2 linked regions of the Oryzias latipes genome follow. The protein of the gene in region 1 interacts with the protein of each later gene in a biochemical or structural test. Links are inferred from orthologs where the notes say so. Each region holds a gene or a part of one and is shown in the gene's direction. Other genes may lie near its edges.

Region 1 (4,318 bases):
GTTATTACTGGAGTTTTGTCTGCTCTGTGGATCGGCGGGCATTCCTCTCACACTATTTTTAATTGGATGGAAAATAAACACCTATGGCATGCTAATACACTGGTGATTTGCATTGTGGTTTGGCGCTGGATGGGAATTCAGGGCAAGGTTTAGAGCCGAATAATCTCTGGCAGCTATGGGAGAAAAACAATGTGGCCATTATTCCATTAGCCACTTAGGTAGTTGAAAGTGTGTTGGAAGAAATGACTTTTTCTAACTGATCCATCTTTCCTCAAAGGAGTATCCTTTTCGTTGAATCAAAGCTGCTGTCATGAAAAGTCCATTTTGGCCTCTCTGTGCCATTTCTGTGATGTATTTTTAGCAACAGTCTACACAGGTTGTTTTTTTTGTGTGTGTACAAGCTGCAATTAATTACAGGAAACATTTTACCGTCCTAATTTAAAGTTGCATCTTTAATGTTATCTCTAAATTGTATTGTATTCGCAAGAACCTGCTTACCTTCTTTTATAACAAGTTATCCTAGTAAACGTAAAATATGGATCGTTTGTTTGTGGCTGTATTTTTTCTTTTCTTTTTCCTATTCTTTCCCTCATTGAGGTGATATACTAAAAGATCAAGGTATACGAGTGTCTGTTGTAAATAAATTGGGTCAGTGTCTGTAATTTACACCGCCTAAAATACTTTTTTAAAGTTGGCTCTAGTGGCAGTGTTGTATTAAAGAAGAGGTTTAATGCGACCCTAAAAAAGAACATTATTAGGAGTTGTTGTGAAAGGAAAGAGTTGTGTGATGACTAATCATGAAACCAGAGAAGCGCACACATGCGTATGCTGGGTGCAGCTTGAGGGGGGGTGTATTTGGCACTTGAGGGCAATATGAGGTTTCCAGAAGAGGTGGTGGGGGCCAGTTACAGTCACGTGACCCACAGACACCCCACTGTCACCTCAGTAACCAGGAGCCCAGGCGGCCCTTATCCAATCATGTCAGGAATGCTGGCTGTTACTTGACTAAGGCTATTTCTGCTGTCTGTCGCTAGTGCTTGGTAGTGCTACCAAGGAAAGAGGGATCCCCTTTCTATATAATTTTTTTAAAGTTTTACTTGCTCTTCCTTTCTGGTTTTCCTCTTCCTCCTCTTTTTACTTTTATTCAAATGCTGTCAGTTGTTTTGGAGTGACTGCCATGTTTCTGTTGAGCAATTGGTTTTCTGCGAACAGTTTACTGAGTGGGAAAGTTGTGGAAGAGTCTCTGAGAAGTTGGGAGGGGGAGGGCGAGGTGGGTGGAAGAAAAAGGGGATCAGTTATCCAGTCAGTGAGAGAAGAAGTGGGCGACACGAGGAGAGAGGAGAACCTAAAACCAGTCGGAGAAAGTGTGGGGGTTTTGGAGCTGGAGGACGGAGAGTAAAATGGCCCAACGTCTGCGTTTGTACTTTGGATCTGGCCGCAGCAATACAGCACCAGAGATACTGGAGGGAGACTCGGAGGAACAGCAGGAAGACAGTGAGGAGGTTGCAGTAGTCTTCACTCCCACACCTTTTCTGTCAAGGCCACCTCAAGTGTTAGCTGGGGAGAATGTCCATTCAGCTAGTTCTGCTTTACAGTCTGAGCCTTTGCTGAAACGCAGCTCTTCGATGTTCATACCCCATCTTGCTGCTTTTGCCGAACCACGTGCAACTAAGAGCTCATCAATGCATATATCACTTCATCGCTCAAGTGAATCAAGTAACGGAGAGCCTACCGGAGTTGATGATGTCCCACCACCCTCTTATACTCCTCCAGGACCTGCGCCTGCATACACTGAACTAAGGACTCGAGCTGACCTTCCACAACAGCCACCGCCTCCATACTACAGCCCAGATTCCTTAAACATACAGTCTTGTCTGATGGAGCCAAACCTTCCCAAACGCAGAGTGTTTTGTCTTGGTTCCAGGGGCCATGCTGCTTTCAACAGATTCCAACCTGGTAATAGTGTTGGGACTATTTGTATTAAGAAAAAATCTCTTAACGGTTCTGATGTCCAGCATTTTAGGATTCTTCCAAACGGTGGTGCGGGTTGGTCTGTCCAACAGGAGAGCCTGGATCACTGCTTTGATGTTAATGGGACAACACAAAGACTAGTATTTCAGCTCCAGCAAGACCAGAAAAATACCTACCAGGGACGACAAGAGTCAACTTCCCATCAGGAAGAATGCTCAGACTTTGGGCAAAGCAGTACTAGAGGATTACAAACAGTGCGTTATCCAAGAATTAGATTCCACCGGAGTTCATCCCAACAAAGTCTTTTGCTGGAGGATAAACACTTGGAAAGCGGAACAGAATATCCGACTATAGAGGAGAATCCAACTTATGTTGAGGCAGAAACTAAAAACGGGTCGAATGGTTGTGTTTTTAAAATTGAAGAGGAAGCCCCCAGAAGGCAACCACATTTCAAGATATACTTTTCCCAGAGTGGAGGTGGAGATAAGGAAGTTAATATTGGCAAAGAATCAACAAATAATCCCAAGGTAATGAAATAATTTGCTATTGAGTTGGACCATGGCTTGTTTCTGGTATTTTTACTGCAACAGGCTGTTTAATTCACATAAAAAAGCCTTACTTTTGCATAAATAAATGCCGACCTTTTTTTAATGGTGGAAAAATGGACGATTTTTATCTGGTGTTTCAGTGAGCACTGTTTGAAGATGTTTATTTACCTTAGTGAGAGACCAGGAAATGTTGTTACAATGCAGAACGAGGGTGGTAACTTGCTGGGAACCGTATAGAAAGCACAGAGTTGTTTCTAAACGGAATTAGACACTTGCTCTTTCTTCACAACCACAGGCATTTGAAGTTGTGCACACGAGCCAAATCAGCTATGAAAGAAAAGGAGTAACAGGCATCTGGATAAATGTACAATTCATTTGTTACATTCTGTTTTATAGACATTTGAAATGTAGATTTTTGATCATAATCGTGATTTTAAGAAATGCTTTTTATCAAGTTAATTCCTTCATCTTTAAATCATTTCAGTCATGGGTGTTTATTTTAGTGAAATGTCTTTTCTCTGGTTGTAGACTGGAACGGATCTGTATTCTAGCAGCAGCTGCACTGCCAGTGATTAAGATCTAAAATATCATTACATTTCAAGTACGGATGAAGAAATGCAATCATCAATACCTCATTTTGCTAAAAGTCCAAAGGATCTAAAAATATTTGTTGGTGTATTTTTAGCTCCCTCTCTCTTTCCCTATCACTGTTTTAAACTCTTTTATTTAGCTTTATTTTAAACTGTACTTGAGCTGTTCCCCATCGTACCATTCCCAATACCAAAAAACAAAACAAAACAAAAAAAACAGTGTCTTCTGGACCACAGAACCTGTTGCCAGCCTTCGAACAGTCGACAAAAGTTTCACGACTGTAGTGTCAAAACAAAAGCTTTAATCACTTAAACATTTTCCCAATAGAAAGAATAAAGATTACACAACCACCTGCTTCATCTGTTTTAGTCATTTTAGTGTTAAGTCATAGTCATTGGTTTAATGCCCCAAGAGTACCATTAGGTAGTGACACAGAAAGAAGGTAAACACGTTTAAAGAACCATATTTTATTGTTTAAAATATAATTATTAGGCTATAGCTAGGAATCTATACTGTTTTTTTTAAAGAAAGGCTGATGTTAATATTGTCTTTTCCACCCCTAATCTCCCATAAGAGGGACTTGAGATAAATTCGCTCATAGTGTAACTTGTAATCTATAGATTTTTATTTATACCATACTTTTTGCCAAGCTCTCAGAATTTGAACCATGTTTTTGATATACCATACTGTATAACCCACAGCACATGAATGCCAAACCATATACATAAAAAATAATATCTCTTATGGGAACTAGTGCACAGACTCAGTTTTATTAAAAGGGGATCATTAAACTCCAAGTCTGCTTATAAAAATTCCCATTGGGGATCTTTATGATTAAGATTTAACTTCAAACATCGTTTCTGTGCAATTCTGAGTCATGGGTTATAAGTTTAGACCACATCATTTATAAAATTGGATGTAATTCAGACATGTTTCTGCATCTTTTTGTAGTTATTTTAAAATTTTATTAAAAAATGTTAAGCTTTTAACAAATTGAAAAAAAAAATCCCTTTAGGAGTCGAGACATCCCCTTCCTTACGCAAATGGAAAACTCTTTTAGCCCAGGTCTTCCCCAACTGGCCGGCTGAATTTAATTAATGCTTTTTAAATTCCAGTCAGTGGATCATGTCTAGTCTACACTGCATAGCTATGTCCTTAGTTACAGTTCTGCCTTGATTCCACTCTGCTGACATTTTTACACAGAGCCT
Region 2 (4,471 bases), on another chromosome or scaffold:
AAATTTGAGACAATCCTATCACTTGTTGGATTCTACAACGCCTCAAAGACACTGGAAACGCCATTGTATTTATTGTATTTTAGTGTTATTTATTATCTGTTGTTTTTGTTATCACTTGTAGCTTTTTGAGTTATGGTCATAAATAGATTTCCCTATTATTATATAGTATACATATTAGAGTTCTATTAAAGTTCTATTTGTTAACAAGATAATAAACATAGAAATAAACTAATATAAAAAATCTATTGGGATTATGTTTAAGACAAACAAAAACATTGATGAGACTACCGTTTCCGTAGCTGCTGGTTGTGGTAAAATAAATAAAGCAAGGATAAATAAGAAGGCTGTACTTAGAAATTAATTTTTTTACCTGGGGATCATGTTAATTTCATGAATATGCAGTTTTAGCCAAAATCCAAAAACCTGGGTCGTTTTCTAGGACATAGTTTTTGTGGAGCAGCAGTAGTTCATCCTATGCGTTGTTAGCGCGGAAGTACACCTCCACTGATATCCCATCATACCTTTGTTTACACTCTCTACCACTAGCTTACAGCTCCTTACAACCCCAAGCTAACATTACCAGTCAACAAAATTGGCAAGCAATGTTGGAGCCTTCCAGCAGTACAGTTTTGTGCCAGATGCTAGCTCAGATGAGGACAATGAAGACGTTAATGAATCTATTTGTAGGCGAGGGGATGCATCAGAATGGAACACAGCAGTGAAACTTTGGCCCATCCATTTCACATGCGTCATGAAAGAAAAGCTTTTTCAAACAGAAAAGCTTTTTCAAACAGCATTTTTGCATCTGCATTCATTCAAATTCGAAGAAGAAATTCTCAGAAATGCACTTCTTATCTTACATTCTTTTATACATGTCCTCCATGAGAAAAAGGCTACAAGGACATGTTACAAACCCCCAAAAGCATGATTTTCAATGGAGTGGATCTTTAACAACTGTAATATTCTATCATATTTAAAAAGAAAACTGATGTGTATTTTTTTTTGTAACTGTTACAGACAAAAATTTTGTTTCTTCTTGAGCCTACAAATGGGGCTATCCACCAGTCAAACCAGAAATAGTGCCCCAATGAGGCTTGTATGTCAGGTAAAAACAAAAATCAAAAACATGTTTTTGACATGATGATTTTTATGAATGGAAAAATAGTTGAACAGACAAAGATGTCTCAACAACCGCGTGTCAATCCGTGACTGAAGTCTCCATTTCCCTGATGAGAAAATCCAAAGCCCACATGGGGATAGATGGTGAACGGGGCTGATTGAGAGAAATGGCCTTCCCCATCTGAACCTTTTAATGCACCTTCTCTGTTTGGTTCTTTGTTTAATTCAGTTTTCTCGTAAATTTACCAAATGCATCATTTCTGTTTCAATTTAACCTTTAAAAAAAAATCTATCTTCCTCGCTGTCTAGAAAAATAAGACTTTTTCAAACAATCACAGTAGAGATGATTCAGTAGCCTGAGCCTAAAAGGCAAAAAACAACAGGAAGCGCACTTTATTTTGACAGGGAGAGGCGGAAGAGCTTTCTAAAACGGTCGTAACTGGCACGGATTTTTTTTTTTTTTCCAGAGGCAGTGCGTCGAGCTCGCTGCTGTTTGTCTCGTAGGTTTGGCGTACTATCTCCAGCGTCGGTCGTGATTACAGGAGTCGCCTGGCGGTCACCGCATAGGCGTCTAACGGGTTAACTTGCGTATTATTTCAGCTGCTTTTCTTCGCCGGGAATGGACCCTGCGAGTCGGTACCAAGTGGTGAGTTTAAAGAACCGAGCTGGGACCGCGGCCTAGCCACAGGAAACAAGGCCCCGCGATTAAAACCCAGCAAGGGGTGTCTTTAAACAAACGTTGTATTTTATCTTAGCTATAAAAAAGAATAATAAACATGACTTAAATACATATTAGTATCATAAAAAGTTAACTTGATTGTATTTTCCCCTATAAGAACTGGCTTCCGCATCGGCTAGGCTAGCATCTAGCTTAGCTAGGTAGATGTCGGCGTTCAGTCTCTGTCACTTGTTTATAATCAGGTCATAACACGTTTAGTCTCAATTACTAGCTAAATAAACGCTATTATGATGCTACATACATCGAGTTTGTTTATCTGGAAAAATAAAATAAAAATCCAGTCTACTCTTTACTCATTTGTGAGCATTAAGACTTAATTTGCCATTATGGAAAACAGTCATCTGAATCTTTGTCATAATCAGCAGAGGTATTGTGAAACCAGTGGTGTTGCTAACTAAAAAGTCAACTCCCTGCTTCACGCAGAGTTCAGCGTAAAAGGGGGTGTGTGTCTGTTTCAAGGCTAGAAAAGCAAGGAGGGGGGAAAAAAAGTTGCAGCAACTGTCAGGATATCAGAAATAACATTGTTTTATTCTCCTCCCCGGGGCTGCGCCGGTTTTTGAAGGCATGGGTTCTGCAGCCCTCCCTGGGCCTGGGATATAGGCTTGTGGCTGTGTTGTGAATGTCTTATGTAAGCCCCCCCTGTGCATGGGGGAGCCTTGTGCTTTGTCCTTGATTTCCAGCCAGGCAGCAGCCGCTCATTTGCCCCGTGCTCCCAAAAGATTGGCGGATTCTCATTTGATCCAACTTCTGCGGGTCCCCCCCCCCCCCCCCCCCCCGAAAGTTGTGCGGGAGGGGTGTGTGAAAACTGCACTTTTTTTTTTGGAGTTTCAGTTTTGCCACAAGGAAAGTAATGATTTGTGTTTACTGGGAAGCCTAAACAGAAAGAGTTCTGAGATTTGTTTACTTTCTGCGACCCAATAGCCCTCGGCCATTGTCTTGCAAGCTCAACCCGCTCAACCACCTCCACATGGCTTTTATGTTTAAATCACAAAATGTCAGAGATAGGAAGCATGCCATTTTTCAACTGGGAGTGGCTTCCATACTATTTTTAACAACTAGTTAATAAAAACACTAATATTCTAGGTTTTTCCCTTTAAAAAAATGCAGACACAGTTTGTGGGATCATTGGGGATATTTTTAGAGCATCTTCTTGGCTTTATTTCAGATTTCGGTCTGTAATTTCATAACGGTAAATCCATCTTCCTGTTACGTATTAATACGGGTTATAGAAACGCGTCATTGGCACTGCCCGCTTATAAACACAGCAGGCCGTTTCAGCCCTGTTCTTCTCTGTGTGGACGGGAACAACAAGCATTTCCTTCCTTTATTATTTAAGTCATTTCTCAACTTTAGAGAACATTTAGCCACTTTTGTTTTTTTTTGAAACAGTGATTTTGGATGTAAGAGATGGAAAGGCCGACATTAATTTATCCAAAAATTAAATGAATATATTAAAATCAAAACAAAAAATATTGTTATTTTTGGCTTTATAAATAAGTCTGTAAGTAGAATTTAGACCTAAATTGGATTATTGGGCATTTCAAAGACAAATGGGACCGCAGTTATTCCAAATAGAGCTGTTCTGTAAAGCTTTTATACAGCTGTGACTGTCAAAAACTGTAATTAGATAAAAAGACTAAATAAGAATTTAAACAGAAGTCCAATAATGTTCTTGAAAGCAGATTTTTGAGAAAATTCCCTTTTCTGCAAACCATAAAAATCCGATTGTGCAAGGCTCAGTTTGCTACACGACAACTAACTGATATGCTGCAGGTTTAAACAAACACCACAAATGTCACAACGATAAACACAGCAAGGTCGCTCAAGTGCAGCCTGTGCTGAAATTCTTAACCTTTCTGCTGCAATGTTGATAATAAATGTTTTACCTTTTTTAGGAGGAGTTGGTGGGGGCGGTCGCCTGCAGCAGCTTGGGCTATTTTTTTATAAAGAAAATCTGAAATAAACAGACAAGCACAGAAAGAAAATGGTTTTTAGTTTTTATCTGCTGTCAGCTTCACTTCCTCTTGCTTTATCTCAATTCTAATTTGAGTCGCGCAAAACTACAACTTCAGTTCAAAAACTGTCTTTGAGGCTGATAACTTTTGCTTTCCTTGCCATAAAAACATCTTGTTGGACTTGCGGATCCTGACTGTCATGTTTGGGGTCTCAAGTGTCGTTTCGTCTCCTTAGTTGCACAATGAGGACGATGGGTGTGAGGCCTCCACCAGTGAGGAGCAGCCATCCACATCCGCAGCCGCCCAGGCCTCCAGCACACCCGTGCAGGACCAGAACCAGGCTCAGTCCCCGGCTTTAGCAGCAGGAGCAGCAGCAGCCAGTTCTGTGGGGGAGGCAGAGATGCCACCCCCGCCTTATGCCTCCATCGACCTGGGAGCAGCTGCCGCAGCACCTGGTACTGCTGCCTCCTCCCTCCTGGTTTCTTTAAATGCTTCCCGACCGATTTTTTACCGATGAGTCACTCTAAGACTAACAGCACTCGTCACCAGCTGACTCTGCTCGCTGTCTTCTCTGTGAATTCAAAGCTCCTGCTTCTCCTTGTTTTCACAGAATCGTGTTTTCAAGGCGACTTTCCGGTGCCTCCACCCTACAGCGTTG

What was found.
Region 2: of the proteins of nedd4l (region 1) and ndfip2, one has a biochemical effect on the other in vitro, tested with the Homo sapiens proteins (2 studies listed by BioGRID, with this or other methods). The link is inferred for Oryzias latipes from reciprocal best matches to the Homo sapiens genes NEDD4L and NDFIP2.

The regions. Positions count from the first base shown.
Region 1 is NC_019870.2:9,923,160-9,927,477, forward strand, and holds the start of nedd4l (E3 ubiquitin-protein ligase NEDD4-like), read left to right. Parts: upstream 1-1,282; 5' UTR 1,283-1,400; coding exon 1,401-2,498; intron 2,499-4,318. UniProt on the Homo sapiens protein: E3 ubiquitin-protein ligase that mediates the polyubiquitination of lysine and cysteine residues on target proteins and is thereby implicated in the regulation of various signaling pathways including autophagy, innate immunity or DNA repair.
Region 2 is NC_019860.2:18,747,316-18,751,786, forward strand, and holds the start of ndfip2 (NEDD4 family-interacting protein 2), read left to right. Parts: upstream 1-1,565; 5' UTR 1,566-1,738; coding exon 1,739-1,765; intron 1,766-4,048; coding exon 4,049-4,268; intron 4,269-4,423; coding exon 4,424-4,471. UniProt on the Homo sapiens protein: Activates HECT domain-containing E3 ubiquitin-protein ligases, including ITCH, NEDD4, NEDD4L, SMURF2, WWP1 and WWP2, and consequently modulates the stability of their targets. As a result, may control many cellular processes.